Struthio camelus: one gene and its partner. The protein of the gene in region 1 purifies or fractionates together with the protein of each later gene. This does not show direct contact. Links are inferred from orthologs where the notes say so. Each region holds a gene or a part of one and is shown in the gene's direction. Other genes may lie near its edges.

Region 1 (9,105 bases):
GCACAGCCTCTGAGCTTTAGAACTCTTAATTAATGATCAATACAGGCTTGCTTTTTTTTTTTTTTTTTTTTTTGCAGGGGCAGACAGGGAGGAAATATTCTAGAGGTCTCAAAGCTTCTGATCAGCAATTCTTTCAGTTCAGATAACCCACTTAACACAACTACTTTTGCTGCAGTCTGGGCAGCAATTTTAACAAATGCAGTTATAGGCTAGAGATGATTTTGATGCTTTTCCCCATATTACTAAAAACGTTAAGCCTCAGAACAAGAGTAGGCAGTACACGGGTAGTAAAGTACCTTCCTCTGCTTGTTTTTCTTGCTGATTTCATTATTATTCCTAGCAAGAACCAAGCCTCGTTCCCTTAGTGCCGTTCTAAAGAGGATTTCTTCCAGGACTGTTGAAATACTGAACCTGGTTTGTCTTAATCTATAGCCAAACTGTATTTTGCACTATTTTAGCTCCATCAGTTGAGCACAAACCACCTGAAAGGTACTACTTCTAGTTTAAAGATCTTTCAAGGCTAGCTTCTAATTGTCCTTGCAAGAATATACATTCTAAGTAACTGTTGTACGTGTACAAAGAACCTTTCGCCTGATCGTTTGAGTCTCTTGTGCTATAGGAGAGAAATCCACACATTCCTGTGCTGCTGCATAGTGATATGAAGTGATAAGAAGGCCTCACTTAAGTCCCAAATAATCGTCACACTTTATGCAAAATCCAATCACCAGATGCAAAACCTTGTTCTGAGAAGTTTGCTACATTCTCAGCTGTAATTATGCTCACAGGGGTCAGTTTAGCTGAACTGAATCATGCCTGGCAAAGTGTGCAGTAAGACACTCAGAAGTCCAGCAATGCCATAACAAATTCTAAACTCCTAGGCCTTCCTACTGGCCCAAAGCTCAAAGTCGAATTAATTTACTCATCTGAGAGGTCAAGATAAATCAGCTGAGTGCAAGAATAGGCTTTAGATCTAGACTTTATAAGAGATAGCCTATGTTTTACCTTACCAATTTCAAATCAAACTTCCTTCAACTTTACCTTTGCTTGCACGAGAATTGCTTCACCTGGCTCAAGTTTTTTTTTTTCTCTTACATTCCAGATAAGTACATCTTTCTCAACTCCTCTCCAACAGAGGTCCACTTTCTATTTGATACTATCATCAACTATTCAGAAAAAGTTCTAAGATTATACACCAGCATACAAATCTAAGAACAAGTGCTTATTGTTATGGAAATACTGCTAAACAAACAAAAAATCCAGAAAAGTGAAAGAGACTTGTTCCTTGAGAGTAACCAACTTCAAATGTATCTTCCTTTGCCTGCCAGCTTTTGTATCCATTTTCTACCAGCTAGCATCATCAAATAAAACTGGTTTTAAATGGAATCACTTAATAGCATTAACTTTAATACAGTTATTTAGGTTTGGGGAACTGAGGTACTCTTTACCTTCTTGCTCTTCCCCTGTCTTCCCAAAATATCTAACTCTGGTTTTCTGTAAGCAGTTAGTGAATTCTGTAGATGTCTGGATGTTCATTCTCAGTAGTCTGCCATTAGAAACCAGGAAGCTGTTCAAGCCTCAACTTGGCCATCCAGAGAACATCGAAATCTGCACAACTCTCTGTGCCTTAAATTCCAACCCGAAGACGGTTTTTTAACGCAAAGGTTGCTGGTGACAACACATTTTTAAGTTGGTTAACAAGGTGCTCAGTTTACTCACCTCCTGACTAAACATCCTGGAAGAAGTATCATCTGGGCACACAAAAACCTTAAAATTATACATGTTAAAGCTCTCTATTGAAAATCTTAGACTATTAGACAATTTTTAACACATTAAATTGTAACATATCCTGGAGATTCCCAATCTCTTTTCATTGCAATGCATTAAGTCATAAAACTACCTTTCCCTTCTATTTGAGGACTGACTTTTCCTTGATGATCAATTGAAATTTATTTATTCATGAGAAATGTGCATAATCTACTAGACAACTGTAATTCAGTTAGAATGATCAACAGCCGAATAAAATAGCTCAGGAACACCAACAGAATAAGGACTAGCTCCTAAGCTTTCAATTAGACTTGCTTATACCTCCCTCACAGAAGACATATTACAGCCTAGTGGAAATAGAACAGATGGCTTTATGACAAATTCAGATAAAAGTCATGAATGGAAGTAAATCCATCAATAGAACACATAACATAAAGTCATAGCACTGCATATAGCATAGGCAAACACATTTAAAATAGTTTATTCAACTATCCTATAAGAAGTAGAAAACAGGGCTAAATTCATAGTTGCTTTAAATAGGTGACTTCCCCCTCCCCCGCCACATTAACATTCCCTCTCTTATTCAGCCTCTGTTCACCCTGCTACAGGCAGGTTGTATATTTGTGCTTGGTTTAGAAATAAAGAGAATACAGACAGAATCTTCTTCCTGTGTAGTTATTTCAATGCTGCTTCTGCTTATCACCTTGGATGTGATTCTTCCTGTCAGACAGCAGAGTCACTGTGCTATTGAATGAATCAGGCCAGCCAAACAGCTGCAACTGCAGTAATGCAGAAGTATTTATGGAAAAAATATTGCGCAGTAAAAACAAAGCATCCATTTTCCAAGCAAGTCTCATTAATTGGTGACAGTCTTCTAACATATGATTTATGTAATGCAGCATGATTTCCATTAAAGTTATCTGTAGTCTCAACTAGCAATTAGGATATTCTGGTGTAGGGGCAAATGGAGTTCTGGCCAACAGGGAGGAGTTTTTAATCTTTTGTTTTAAATGAGCCTGATCGAAGTGGAAAGGCTCCAGCTGACTGCAGTGGGCTCTCTTCTCCTGCTCCTTGCCATTATTATGTAACTTTTTTTGTTTTTTTTTTAGTTTTTCTGTTTTTTTCTTTTGCTGTCTGCTTTACCTCTGCTCTCTAAACTTTGCTTGTTCCTCATTGTTACATTCTTTTTTTTGCCTTGTTCCTTTCCCTCCAATAAACAAACATAATGATATTTATCTTCTTGTGGTTTATTGCACATGGTTACAATGTAGTAAATATTTAGTAGTAAAAGAATTCAGCTGATTAAGAAAAGAAACAAGCTTTCCCATACATATCCACCTACCCACATGCTATTCTCTTTTGTCTCCATTCTTTTCCAAAATGATACTTTTACATTTGCTTTAATTTTCATTAGATTTCAGATCAGAAGAGATCATCATATCATTTGCTACAAGTTATACTATTAAGTTGCTTCTAGTTCTCCCAACAGTAGCCCAGCAAATTTAAAAGAACTAAGCATCCACAAACTGCTGTCCCACGCTCCTTCAGTGGCACGAAACGGGTCACATAGCCTGTACTTGAATTGTCTTCAGATAACCCCAGTAGATAAACCAGACCTAATACTTTCTGCTATCTTGATCTGAAAGGCTGTTTATTCCAAAATCATATCTGATGATCACATTTTGAGTACATGAGCAGAGTTATGAGGCAAAAAGATTCTCTAACTACCACAAGACAGTGGCTCATCATAACTAGTATTCTTCTCCAGTTGTCTGGAGTTATCTGTGCACCGGGAGGAAAAAAAGACATCCTAATTCCTGTCTACAGGAGACTGAATCACAAGATTTCATTATAATCACTGCCATCATGCAGAAAGGTAGTAATGAACATAAACATTCAATATTGTTATAAGCACTTTTACCTGTGTGCATGCTCTACTCTTGCAAGAGCATCTATTTGATGGAAGACTGTACTAGAAGGCATAGAATACACTAAATACACAATGCTGGCAGTTGAATGCCAGTGAAAACACGACTAGTAATTTTACAGTCTGTTTACAGCCGTAAGTTTGGTTCACAGTTCACAGTAAATCAACAACAACAGCCTTCTTTTTCTAAGTGTCACTCTTCACCCAGTTGCTTAAATGCTCTTAATGTCTCTTTTCTTACTAAATTGCTCCTTCTCATAGTATAGCTTCAGGAAACTGTATCTCTCATTAATGTCAGAACACTGTCATCTTCCTTGTATGAACTACACGCACGAATATGGCCATATAAGCACTTATTTCCTATTAATTATGTATTTTCAACAAACCCAGCTATGAATTATCTGAATTACAGACTACTTTGAATTGCATTCTTAAAACATTGTATTTCTTAAATTGCACCTCCCCAATCTGCTCAAATGCTAATAATTCATCCTATCAGCATTCCTGTGACAAACTTTGTGCGTTTATAAGCATGTCTGCTTCTCCCTAAGAACTCTGGAATTTGTTGGCCAGTTTTTTGCCTTGCTATAGGAAAGGACTCATAGATCTATATCAAGCCCTGAAACATAGCATGAAAATAAGGTTTTGGTAGAGTACTATAAGCAAATGAAAAGTTCGGCTACTCAGCTGTATTAGATATCAGTTTATTCACATGAGAAATAGATACCAAGAAGTAAGCTTTGTTAGTTTTGATGTTCATAGAACTAGTTGCTTTCATCTTTTCTAGTTAGAGTACCAGCACTGCCATCCTGTTAGTTATTTAGGTTCAAATCTCCTTAAAAATTACTGCCTAATGCTCTTCAGCAAATGATTATTTTCAGTTAGATCCATTGTGTTACTCAGTTCAAAACCAACCGTCAGATTTAGTTTTGAGGAAAGCATTCTCCTGCAACAGTTATTTTCAAAAGCTCTAATTTTCAACATTGCTTATTTTTATCTGAAAAACTATAGTTATGGCCAGGACTCAAAAGGGAGCTTTTCAGTTGTTGCTGTCGTTCAAGAAGGAATTTGCTGTTATGCCACACTACTTTCTAATTAAGTTTCATCCCAGGTCACTGAGGAACAAGAAGCATTCAGAATTTCTGTTAAAAACAAACTAAGAAAAAATCCACTGATTTTGTCACAGGCTGCTTGAAATATTTTTCAGACTTGACAAGCTTTTTCTGAGAATTTATCTGTTAATGCAACATCCTTTAAACTGTTTCACCCCATGGGTTGAAAAAGTGCTATCTGAAAGAGTGAACGAGCTGCTTCCCATAAACTGCGCACGGGTGAGCTACGAACACCTGAACAAAGCGGAAGGCAGCCAGAGAAACAGAACAAGACGTTTTAAGCAGCGTCTCAAGTGCTTAAGCATTAGACCCCCATTTAGCCCGCTTTGTTTTTTTCGCAAGCCGCCATTCCCGGCGCCGCAAAGCCGCCCCGCGCAGGGGGAGCCCCGCGGCCACCGCCTCGCAGGCTCCCACATACCACGTACTCGAGCGGCGAGAAAGCCTCCCCCGCGGCACCCGCGCTCCTCCACTTCCCCCGCAGAGCCGCAGGCCGCGCCGAGGCCGAGGCCGCGGCGCCGCGCCTGTAACCGCCGCCCGCGCGCCCACACGCACGAGGACTAACGGCCACGAGCCGTCGCCGCCGCGCTCTGCCTGCGCCGCCCGCCCGCCGGTTTGAGCCCCCCCGCAGAGCGAGAGGGGGGAACACCCCCACCCCGGCCGACAAGGGCAGCCGGGCACCGCAGCTCGTCCCCTCCCCCCGGCGGAGCGCGCGCCGGCGCGGCCCCGCGGCCGAACGCTCGCGAGACGCCCCCGCTCGCTTCCATGTTGCCACGTTCAAAGCCGCCGGCGAGGGGAGCGTGGCGGACACGCGCCCCCGCCGCCGAGCACCGCCCCCCACCCGCCCCCGCCGCCAATGGGAGGTGAGCAGTGCCCCGCCTCCTTCCCCAGGAGCGCTCAGCGATTGGGTGGCGTCGGCGGGGGGGGCGGGAGGACGGGGAGCGGCGGGCGCTGGTTGCGGCCGCAGGACTCTACCGCACGCAGCGCCCAGGTAGCGGCGGCGGCGGTTACTGACTCATCCTCGCCGTCGCCCCGCTCGCCCCACCCCCACGCCCGCCGCGCGCGCGCGCGCACAACCGCTGCCTCTCGCTACCTGACAGGAGGTGCCATGGCCTCGCGCAAGGGCTCCAAAGGTGCCGGCGGCAACCCCAGCCCCGGCTCCAAGAGAGGTGAGCTGCGCGGAGCGGACGGGAAACGGGGCCGTCGCCTCGGAGGGGAGCTTCCCGGGCCGAGCCGGCACGGAGGGAAGTGGGGAGAGGGTGTAACCGCCGCGAAGTAGGGCAGCGCTGCGGGGAAGGGCGGCGGCGGGCCGAGGAGCCGCCGCCGTAGGGCCGCCGCCGTGGGGGGGGGGAGGGGGCCGATGCCGCCCCTGCCCGCCGGGGCGGGGGCGAGCCCGCTGGGGGAGGCGAGGAGGAGCACGGCCGCGCTGCGCCCTGCTCTCCGCCTTCGCTTTGCCCCCGCCAAGCGGTGGAGCCTCCCCAGCCCCTGTCCAACGCCCGCGCTCGCCGGCCCTGCCCGCGGGATGCTGCGGGCCGTGGCTGCTCGGCCGGGCCTCCGAGGGGCGGCCGCCCGGCAGGAGGAGGAGGAGGAGGAGGGGTGGGGGGCCGGGCCGGGCCGGGGGGCTTCGCCGGCCCCGCGCGCGTTCGGCCTTCCCTATGCGCTGCGTGTCAGCTCCTGGAGGCAGCGCGAAGCGGGAACAGATGGTTTAGATCTGCTGCTCGGGTTTCGGTCGTCCCCCTTCTCAGGAATTTAAGCGGAGGAGAAACTTGCTTGGTCTGGCTGAGGAGGTGGAGGCGCACCACTCGAAAGCTTCCCCGCCCCGAACGGCTGGGCTGAGTGATGGGCAGGGTCCTCAGCCCCGAGAGGGTCTTTGACATCTGTGGGTTTCTCAGGTTTGCAGGGAAGTGCACGTTGATCTTTTCTTCCGGAGGCCTGGAGCAGAACCTGGATGCCCAGTATCTCCAATGCTAGTGAAGCAGTTGTTATTCATGTGTTTAAACTCAGATGCTGGGACATCTTCTGATCTAAGTTTGTTGGATCTATCATAGATGTAGTATCTAACTCGAAGGTTCACTTAAGTGCAGAAGCAGGTAGGAGTAATCTTGAAAAAATGCAGAGAGAAGGGGTTTTTTGATTATTAGTCCCCTTTCCCACCCCCTAGAATAAATAACAGCTTGGCAAATCTGACTATTAATAAGGTAGTATGTATTGACAATTTAGGTATGGAATACTTTGTATGCACTAGGTTTTTTTTTAAGAATAGAATATACTTTAATGAGAGAAAAGTATATACTTATGGAAGTCACTGTGTAATCATGCATACTACAGTAATTAAAGGAAATTTTAACAAAGATTAGAATGCTTGCTAATTATAACTTATTTGGTTTTGAGCTTGACTTGCACAGAGCCCTAGTGATGACAAATTGTAATGACACTGAAGTAGTATCTGTTGTTACCCTTTCAGCAATAGTATGGATGACAGTGCTAATGAAAGGATGAACATATAGGACCAATTCACCAATCACATGGTGAATTGAGAGAAAAAGATTTCAAATGTCAGTTAAGCGTGAAAGAGTTCAGAGATGATGTTACAGTGGTTCAGAGAATTTTTTTTAATTTTATTTTTAATAAGGTCCTCCTTTTTGGCATATGCTGTAGAGTCTATATTGTACTTTTTCCTGGACTAGCGGTACTATTTGATATTCATGAGTCAAATGATCGTCACCTACTATTAAGCAGCATGGCAAATACAGATTTCCAATAAGAATGTATTAAGAACATGCATCCCTTGTACAATTTTGAATACTGCAAATGATTCAGACATTATCACTTTAAAGGTTAGTCAGCATTTGAAAAATAAATTTATCAGCAATCTAAGTCTCTGACTGAGTATAAAAGTATTATATAGATTTTTATATTCAGCATGAGCAAAATTTTTTCTGTTTGTAATAAAGTACCTAATTTGTGTAGTTGCACAGAGGACGCATTATTGCTATATATAAAGGTGTAAAGCAGTGTGAGTCTAAGTGTTGGTCACAATCCCAGAATGTAACCTAGTAAATTAAGACCAATATTTTGTTAGTTTCAGCTACTCCTAGTTAAAATCCCTTGGACAGCTGTAGAAATTATGGCATGAAGATGATGCTGTTTTCATAGTTGCTTAAGAATACCATGCAGCTGCAGAAAGAGGTAATGGATGATGATTCCTGTGTGAATGAAGAACAGCTAGAGGAGCAGACGGTCTTCACAGCAGCCAATAAGTATTCCACATTTGAGAGCTGTGAACATGAAATGAGGAAATAATTTTGAAATGTCCAGTAATTAAGACTGTGAAGCATGCAAACCTCAAGTCTGAGGCAGTTCCTGATAGTACTGTAGTAATCACTTTTACAGCAGTTCATTGGAGAGGACTTGGTTTCTTGCCAAGGCATTGCTCATGACTGTGAAACCAGTGAAGATGACAGTGCATCTAAAAATCTCAGCACCTAAGGAGGTGCCTGAATCTGAATTTAGTAATCTGCTTTTAGGTATCCACATTAGAAAATGCTGATGTAAATCTTAGAATTTCTAAATCTGAACTAGTACTAATTGTAGTGTTTAGAAAACTGTTTTCAGATTCATTGAAATGACAGAAGTGGAATTGAATTCTTTAGAAATAGAACTCTACCTCTTGCTTTAAAAAATCATATGCTAAAAACCATCCTAAGATAGGCCTAGTAAAAAAAATTCTTCTTGCATTTGAGCTTTGTACTGCTAGTAGCAAAATTTTCTTTGAAAGTGGCATTTACAAAATTGTATTTATATGCCAATGATTTAATCTGGGGTACAGAAGCAAAAACTGTGTCAAAATTTGACAGTTTGGGGGTACTTAGAGCAGGAGAGCATGTGTTCATTATTATCTTTACCGGAAAGTCTGGCTTCCTGTCACTAGCCTACAAAACCCATTGAGAAAACTGTGGCTTCTCAAAAGGGAGAAGTTTCAGACAGCTGGATGAAGCAGTGGATACTTATGTTGGATATTACTTAAAACTTCATGAGATGAAGGACAGTTTTGGTATAGGAACAAAGGTGTATCGGTTGGTTATGAATAACTTCCATGAAGCGGTTACATTTGGAAATGTTCAGAGCATTCAGAGATGGCTCTGGGGAAGCTTTCCAGTAAGAGTGAGGGTCAGCAGCCTAACTTCTTGTAAAGTATAGATGGATTAAAAAATATGAATGAGTTTATCAGATATGATAGCTTGCAACAGTAAGAGTGCTGAGGGTTAAGCATCTATATTCATGTTTCTGTGTGAGTGTCTTTCG
Region 2 (9,063 bases), on another chromosome or scaffold:
GATTGAGGAATGGTAGATTTCCCAGAGCTTTAACAGAGCTTTCAAATGCTGGATTCCAGTTGACTTTTTCATTTTTTTTCCACTAAGCCCCTTTCCCTTCTGTACTCCTCCTGCCAAAAGGATGAATTGCTTGCTGCTAAGAGCAGAATTTAAGAAACATTTTTGTTACTAGAAAGAGCAAGAGTTTAGCGTGCCCTGCCCCCACATTTGATTTTTTTAATGCAAATACTTTGTGTTCCTGCTCCTCAGTTTTTTACAGTTCTGGGCTGCAGTCCAAACTACAATGAATTTACCGCCTTGCCTCTTGATACAGTTTCATAAGAACAGATTTTGGGCCTGCAGTCTTGGCTCCACATGGGCACCAACCACTTCACTCCTCATCTCAACCCCAGCTGAAAACAAGCACCTAGATGCTGCATGTGAAAAGCAAGATTTGCTCCTTACAGCTCTTGGCAGAGTTACTCCCTGGAAACCAAACCTCCCTGGACAGAGTTATCTGGAATGCCAGTTAATCCTCCAAAGCCTCTCCCATCCCAACTCAGGCATTTTTCTGCTACTGTCCTTTCCCACCACCTTCTCCCAGGAGGCCATGTTGAACAAAGGCAAGGCAAAGAACTGGCTGGATCCCCCAAACCCCAGCGCTCTGCAGCTCCTCAGTGGCTGAGACCTGCTCCCACCCCAGTGCCCCACGTCACCCAACCACCAGCTGCACCCCAGGGAGCCTCTGCATGGCCACAACGGCAGTGACAATGCTAGGAGAAGGCCATAAGTCGGAGCGGCAAAGGGGGATGGAAAAGCTATTTGATATGCGATTTCACATGACTGCCGTTGAGATTAAGCTGTCACACGAGGAAAGTTCAGCCCAGGACACATGTCCATGTCCTCTTTGCATGCTGCACAGGAACTGTCCCTGACCCTGGTCCCTGCCCCACCAGGCCTGGGGGTCAGACCAAGGGATGCAGCCTGTCTCTTGCCACTTTGGAAGGATCTTATGGGAGCCAAGAGGCAGCAAAGCATGCAAAGAGTGAAACCTCTAGCACCCCTGAGCTGTTTTTGGCCTGTTTGCACGTGGCACTCACCTGGCTGGGTACCCACATCACTCTGAACCTGCCCTATAGACCCCCAGGCCCTATAGCTCCCCACCCCCAGTCACCCACAGCCTTCTGTCTCCTGTCCCCACAGCCCCCCCATCCCATCACACATGGTTTCTCTGTCATTCCCCATAGTCCCCCATCCCTTGTCCCCAGAGCCCCCCATCCCCTGTCCCCACAGACTCTGTCCCCTATAGCCCATCCCACCACGCACAGCCTCCACTCCCCATAGCCCCCCATCCCTGGTTACCCACAGCCTCCCATCCCACCACACACAGCCTCCACTCCCCATAGCCCCCCGTCCCACCACACACAGCCTTCACTCCCCATAGCCCCCCATCCCACCACACACAGCCTTCACTCCCCATAGCCCCCCATCCCACCACACACAGCCTCCACTCCCCATAGCCCCCCATCCCACCACACACAGCCTCCACTCCCCATAGCCCCCCATCCCTGGTTACCCACAGCCTCCCGTCCCACCACACACAGCCTCCACTCCCCATAGCCCCCCATCCCACCACACACAGCCTTCACTCCCCATAGCCCCCCATCCCACCACACACAGCCTTCACTCCCCATAGCCCCCCATCCCACCACAGCCTCCACTCCCCATAGCCCCCCGTCCCACCACACACAGCCTCCACTCCCCATAGCCCCCCATCCCACCACACACAGCCTCCACTCCCCATAGCCCCCCATCCCACCACACACAGCCTCCACTCCCCATAGCCCTCCATCCCCGGTTACCCACAGCCTCTGCCCCCATAGCTCCCCGTCCCATCGCCGCCAGCCCCCCGTCCCACCACGCACAGCCTCCACTCCCCACAGCCCCCTCCCCCTGTCCCCAGAGTCCCCCTTCCCTCGCTCCCCGCAGCCGCCGCCTCGCCCAGCGCCCAGCGCCCCGGCCCTACCTGCCGGGCCGGGCGCCCCGCGGCCCGCGCAGCAGGGGCAGCCGGCGGCGGGGCAGCGCAGCGAGGCGGGCCGCGGCGGCCATGCGGGCGGCGGCGGCGGCGGCGGCGGCGACAGCGGGCCCGGCCGGCTCCCCGCGCCGCCCTATACGGCGCAGCGGCGGCGGGCGGCGGGGGCGGTGCGCGCCGCGGCCCGCCTCGGCCCGCGCTCGCCCCCGGGCGGCAGGGGGCGCGGGGCTCCTGCGAGCCCGGCCCCGCGCCCCGCCGGCCGTCCCTGCCGCTAACTCCTTTTATTTTTCCGGGCTGCCCCAGCAGCCTTTTTCTGCCTAGCCCCAGATGCTGCACCCCAGCCAGGGCCTTTCCGTGTGGCCCGAATGAACCCTGTGAGCCTGGCTGACGCGGACCTCGGCGTGAGGAATGAAACGGGCTCGCTGTCCAGGCGGCCAGCACCCGTCCCCTCTGCTTTCCTTCATCTTCATCGCCTGATGCCTGAGCCCCTGGGAGTCCTGAGCCCCATCCACTTCACCAGCGCGGGTACCACCTAACAGCCTCAAACTCTGCCTTCTCCCAGCGGGCTGCTCTGGTGAGAGGAGAGGCCAGCTGGGACCTGCACACCTTCTCCCCAGTGGGGCAGGCTGAGCTGCCCTCACCCGCGGGAAGGGCAGGAGCAGGCGCCCGGCCGAGGAGCGCTGCGGCGCTCAGCTCCCTCGAGCACCCAGGCGCAGGAGCAGCGCTGCCTCCGATGCAGCAGCGCTGACACTGAGGGACAACGGGTGACGCACGCGTTGTTCTGAGTGTGAAATGACAGGCACCCTTTCCCAGCATTGCCTGCAACCATGGCAAAAAGCTAATTAATTCCCATGAAAGGGCCGGGGGATAAAGTGGATCTCAGAAAACAGTGTACACCTTTTAAATACCATAGAAGCATTCACTAAGGAGTTTTAGCAGCTGGGCGCTAGCCTGAATGCGGGCTCTGTTTCTGGCTCCTTTACTGACCTTGCAATGTGATCTTTGGCTAGTTATTTTGCAGCTCTTTGCTCTTTTTAATTCGGTCTGCCTAGGTGGAAGCTAGAATTCAGCAGAGAGACACTTTACAGTGTGTCTATCCCATGACTATTACAATGGAGCTTATGAACAAGGATATCAATTTTGGCCTCAGAATTGGTGTATCCCTGACATCAAAGCCAAAAATACGCTTATAAATAACAGCCACACAGTAAAATGCTGACTGCATAACCGAACCTCACGGTTCAGATAGTTGGTTTTAGAATCGGGAGGGATTTTCCCCTGACACATATCTTGTTCACAAGGCAAGATGAGTTTGTTTGGTGGCAGCCGTGATAGCGTTCTATTTGGTTGGGGGAAGGGAGATTTTTGACTTTGAAGAGTGAAAAATTGGCCATGGCTGCACATGGGACACTGGGCAAGGCAGGTCAGCGCTGTGAAGAGAGTCTGGGAATCTTCTCAGGCACTCAGGGCCAAAAATTAGATTGACAGTGTTCATCCAGCTTCATTCAGCAATTCCTCTCCCTACTTCTCCCTCCATCCTTCCTCCTGCAAAGTGAACAAATATGCCCTGATTTCTCTGTCTCATGTAGGTTCTAAGACTTTTTAGACATGCCCAGGTAAATATATTGACATGTGCCAGTCCCACTAAAATCAACAGATAGGAGAGTTTATGGATTTGTGTAAATGATGTAAGGCCATCTGACGTTCATGGCCAAAAGTCATCCCTTCACTATTTCGGCGAAGCACAGTGCAATTACATTTATTTGTATTGCAACAGCATCAAAGTGTGCTCGGTGTTGTATAACCACAGACGAGAAGAAAAAAAAAAAAAAGTGATCCAAAACCCCCACCTTTAATAAACAAAAATAAAGCTGAGTTTCAGTTTGATCTTCCCACATTTAGAGGATTAGCCTATGGGGTGAATCCCAGATACATATTAAACCAAGAATTATGCAGAAGTTACAAGGGTCTAGATTTCAGACGTTCCCAGTCATCTGCAGCATTCCACATACAAAGGCCTTCTCTATACAGGTACAAGATCTGCCTCAGGTCTCCTCAAAACGCCTGCGAGTTTTGCCCTCAGGAGCAGGACTGTGTATGCCCCTGCTAAGACGGCCATGGTGCCTATCAGGTTGAGGAGGAGGCAGGGGACATGTGAGTCCCACATTGACTAACATGGGAGTGAGGCAATTGACTGCCTCACTTGGGTGCCCATGGTGGGAGATCTGGAAATGCGAGATTTCCCCACCGGTCCCTGGCTCAAGTCTTCCTCTGGCCTTTCAAACCTTGTTTTGAAAAGCTGAGGGAAGAGAGAGATTCTTGCATAACTAGACCTCGCTTTTCTCAAGTGTGAGTTCTGCAATTTCAGTCACCGGTGGGAGGCACAATAACCTGCTCCTAGCAACTTCTCTAATCTCCTGAATGAGAGTGCATTGATCTTAGGCAGCCTTTATTAGACTCTGTGGCAGATCCTTGTTTGCTATTTTGTGGTGCCTTTGCTCAGAGACTCCAGAGATCTTGATTATCTCAGCATTGTTAAGACACCTAGCGACAGCTTAAAAACCCTACTCAAAAGTATCCATGGGGTAGATGTGCTGAACTAGTTAGAAACATCTTTGCAAGGTCCAGTGCATCACATTTTGCATAGGGGTCAAAAAATTCAAGGTTAGCATTCACTGCAATCCCATTACTGGGTAATATTAATTTGGCTCTCCCTCAGCCTGCTTTTCTCTTTCACTGACTTTCTCAACAGTGGGTCAGTCAAGGTGAAAGAACACTTTGATTGTGCTGTATCCGAGCTTCCAGATCAAAGCAGGAACATTACTGCAAATTCCTCCTGGTAAAGAGAGACATCTTGGTATAAGCCAACAAAAAGCCAGTCCAGCACTCAGTAATTATGGAGGCTATGAAGAGCAGGAAGCAACAATGTCTAGTATTTGTAAAGAAAGCATGCATGAATTGGGTTTTGTGTTCATATTGGGATTACTGCTCGTTAAAGGCTTAGTTTTTCATGGGACATAGTGTGAACGGTGAAATGACAAGGTGTAAATCTGACCAGCCTGTGGGGTAGCAGTGAGACATCTTATTTATTCTCTGCATATGAATCACAGAACGGCCGAGGTCGGAAGGGACCTCTGGAGATCATCTAGTCCAGCCCCCCTGCTCAAGCAGCGTCACCTAGAGCACGCTGCTCAGTTTCAAACGTTTCAAAGAGAAGGCCACTGGTCAGACGATGACCTTGCAATCACCGAGCGAGTAGGGCAGGAACCAGGAGAGGTGCAGCGGCTGCCTGCGTCGGGAGGAGCGATGGGCCGGGGCCGCCGAGCCCGGCGGCGGGCCGCTCCGGGCCGGCAGGGGGCGCGCTGCGCGGCGAGGCGCGGCGCGGCGCGGCGCCCCTCTGGGCGCGGGGCGGCTCGTCGGCGCTGGCGGGCCGAGCGCGGACGTGGACGCGGAAGTGGCTGGCGGGGAGCGGCGGCGGGGCCGCGCCGCGCTGCCCTCCTCCGCCCGCGGCAGCCGCCTGCCCGGCCCCCGGTGCCGCGGAGGGCGGGGGGGCGCCATGGCGCGCGGCGGCGGCGGCGGCGCCGCCAAGGGGGTGAACCTGAAGGACAAGCTGGACGGCAACGAGCTGGACCTGAGCCTGTGCGACCTGAGCGAGGTGCCGGTCCGCGAGCTGGTGAGCATCCGCCCGCGGCCGCGGCCGCCGCTCCGCGCCTCAAGAGGCGCCGCTAGCGTCTCCCGCTGCAGCGAACGAGCTGCGCACCGCAGCGGCAGTTGTTCGTCACCTGGCCTGCAGGCATTTAAAATACCCGAGACGAGGGTGTTCGGGCTCTGCGAGCTAGATGCGTAGCCTCAGCGTCTGCTCCATTTCCGAAGCAGTATCTTTTAAAACCAGAATTGTGAACCAGGGCTTAATTAAGATGAAACGTCATCTCGGTGGCAACTGCTGAGGAGTTCGCAAACTGGCGTGGAAGAAAACAAAACAAAACCAGCATGCTAGAACGTCACTGTTGTGTATACATACATACACATATATACATATATATATAGCTTGATCTAATTCTTTGTTTCTCTTTCAGGCTGCCCTTCCGAAAGCTACTATATTGGATTTGTCCTGTAATAACCTAATTTCTCTGCCGGTAAGATGCTAGGGAGCCTTTGTGGAGATGAGGCAAATCTGTTAGGAAATAATATTTAAAAAAAAAACAAAGTCCTTCAATAGAGATTCAGTAGGAGGTTTAGAACTAGCACTTCTCTCATTCCTGGGTTGGCTGAATGACAAAACCATCAATTAAGGGTTAGTATTAATGGTAGTTTTTACTGAGGCAGGCATAATGCAATAAGAGAGAAAAAGCTGAAGATCCTTTTCCCTGCCAAAGGATCCCTGCAACTTTACAAACCACTTTCATCAGCAATAGAGGCTCAGTTTTGTTTCAGATATATTGCGGCATATCACCTTGTCTAGGAAACAGGGGTGTCCCACTGTTTTCTACCTCTGTCTTCCAAGGCAGAGGAAGAGGGTGATTTTCCTCCATCACACAGTTTTGTGTTAAGGATTATGGCTTTATCACATAAGGTGAAGGATATTTCGACACACTCTCAGCTGGGGTTCCTTTGTAAAGGTGATGCCAAGCTGCTTCTACTTTTGTGTGTGTGTGTGTGTCTCGGTTTTAGTCGGACTTCTGTAGTTTGATGCATCTGGTGAAACTGGATTTGAGTAAAAATCGGCTTCAACAACTGCCCTTGGACTTTGGCCGCCTGGTCAATCTGCAGCACTTGGACCTTCTGAACAACCGTTTAGTCACCCTGCCAGTCAGCTTTGCACAGCTCAAGGTAAAACCCATTTGCTAGGCAGTTACGTAAAGCCTTGGGAGGCAGTCCAGGGTCTTGTGATTCTTCTCAAGTTGTTCTCTGGTAAAGCATCGGTCCTGCTGGCTACCCATTTCAAAATTAATCTGGGCTCTGCACTACAGCTCAGTGGAAATTACCTCACTTCTACTGAAGCAACTTCTGCCTGAGCTCTCTACTTGTCCTCTGTATGTGCTTCATTTACGTGAAAACTAAGTAGCTCTTTGCTACCGCTTTGTATCTCTTGAATAATCACAAGACTACTGTGCTCTGTGTGTGCGAGCACTCTTACAGCCTCCCGTTTATCGTTCCTTTCTGCAGAATCTGAAGTGGCTGGATCTGAAGGACAATCCCCTGGATCCTGTTCTAGCTAAAGTAGCAGGAGACTGTCTGGATGAAAAGCAATGTAAACAGGCTGCTGTCAAGGTAAGGAATCTGCTTCCTATTTTATTCTTTTTTCCCGTACTTGGATTTGCTGGTTGCTGTTTTTCCTCCGATTGCTTAGCATGCTGGGCTGCTGCTGCAGCAATTTGAAATTTCTTCAGTCAGTGAGGAGCTGGTTCATTGGTAAACATGCAGTGACTTCATTGCTTCTGCGCCTGTAGTGAGCAAAGACTGAGCTAAGCAGGATTCTTTTTCATTACTGGGGTTAAGAGTGTTGAATGCTGGTAGCTAGGAAAGCGGAGGTACATTTAAACAAAATAATCCATGTCCAGGCTTACACTCCAGAGTAAAAAATCTCTCGCAAAGTTCTGGCAAACTACAAGCTCACATAAATAGTTGCTGCAAGCTGTGGAGCAAGAATAGTTAGAGTCTGGGTCTGTGTTGCTGCCTTGTCATACTATTACTTGAAAGAATTCAGTCTCATAAAAGAACAAGTGTTCTGTGATCCTCTGTGCTAGCTAGCACCAGTTTGCCTTGTTTGTTTTCTAATTAAAATATCTTTCTCTTAACTGTAAAGAGTAATACAGGAAAGTCAAGAGAGTTCTCTTTGGAGCCAGACCTGTAAGGCTAAGTCAGCTGTGTGCAAATTTATCGGATTAGTAATCAGTCCCAGCTGACTGTCTTCTGCCAGTCTTCACCTGCGCTCTTAACTGTTCTGTTTTGAAATGACTATGCAAAGAACCTTCTGCATACGTCCCATATTGTTTTCTTGGACCTTGAAGGTACTGCAGCATATGAGAGCTATCCAGTCTGAGCAGGATCGAGAAAGGCAACGGAAGCTCCAGGCAGAGCGAGGTAGGCATAAAGAGCCCTCAAGCGCTCTCTGCTGAAGACTATTCCTGATCTCTCTTGATGACATACCCAACCATACTGATTGCCATCTAACAAATATCTGTAACTACCAGAGTTCTGAGGACCCAAGGAGTATTAGGGGAGGAGGGGGAAAGATAGCTTGGGATAACTCTGTGGTTTCTTGCCTGGAAAACAGTTAGATCCCTCAAGGAAACGTGCTGTAAGTCACCTATAAAAAGTATGAAGGAAAAACACAGGATTTATTTTAAGGGAAGTGTAAACTTGAGGGAGCAAGATGAAAGGCATATAATATTTTAGAACAATAATCCAGGGTACTTATTTGATTGTTTCCTTATTCCAATGGGGAACAGGTAAGCATGTAATAAGGAACAAGGCCATGACAACCCTTTATATAAAGGGAAAAAAACCCTTGTATTAATCCTCAGAAATGGAGAAGAAACGTGAAGCAGAACAGCGTGCAAAGGAGGCTCAAGAGAGGGAACTGCGGAAGCGAGAGAAGGCAGAGGAAAAGGAACGCAGAAGACGGGAGTATGATGCTCTGAGAGCTGCAAAACAGGAGATGGAAAAGCAAACTAAAAAAGAAACCGTTCAGACCCGAAGTAAGTTGCATCCACAGTGGGTATTCTGTAGAGACCATCATGTAATATTTTAATCTGTAACTTGAGCACAGCATAGGAAAAATAAGTGGAAGAGAAGGAACAAGACCACTGCCCTAGACACTGCATCAGCCTTCATCAAATTTTGATGGTGGGGGATGGTCAGAGTGGTAGGGAAACAGCACAGTAGTAGAGCTTATTAAAAATCTTACAGGTGGACAGCTGTAGGAGAGGAAGACAATATTTCAGCATCTTTGTTCCTGACAGATTGCTGAACTACAAGATTCAGAAAATTCTTCAGCTGCTCCTAAGCAGAACTTCCCTCCGTCCAATTCTTTTTGAATGTACTGAGAT

The links.
Region 2: the proteins of ASPH (region 1) and LRRC59 purify together in Homo sapiens (co-immunoprecipitation; 3 studies listed by BioGRID and IntAct, with this or other methods). This does not show direct contact. The link is inferred for Struthio camelus from reciprocal best matches to the Homo sapiens genes ASPH and LRRC59.

Annotation. Positions count from the first base shown.
Region 1 is NC_090943.1:134,400,473-134,409,577, forward strand, and holds the start of ASPH (aspartyl/asparaginyl beta-hydroxylase), read left to right. Parts: upstream 1-5,758; 5' UTR 5,759-5,908; coding exon 5,909-5,969; intron 5,970-9,105.
Region 2 is NC_090960.1:7,768,328-7,777,390, forward strand, and holds the start of LRRC59 (leucine-rich repeat-containing protein 59), read left to right. Parts: upstream 1-5,449; 5' UTR 5,450-5,567; coding exon 5,568-5,684; intron 5,685-6,087; coding exon 6,088-6,147; intron 6,148-6,301; exon of another isoform or gene 6,302-6,682; coding exon 6,683-6,841; exon of another isoform or gene 6,842-7,177; coding exon 7,178-7,282; exon of another isoform or gene 7,283-7,440; coding exon of another isoform or gene 7,441-7,455; intron 7,456-8,022; coding exon 8,023-8,095; intron 8,096-8,538; coding exon 8,539-8,712; intron 8,713-9,063. Other genes in the region: ACSF2 (medium-chain acyl-CoA ligase ACSF2, mitochondrial), read right to left, coding at 2,006-2,088.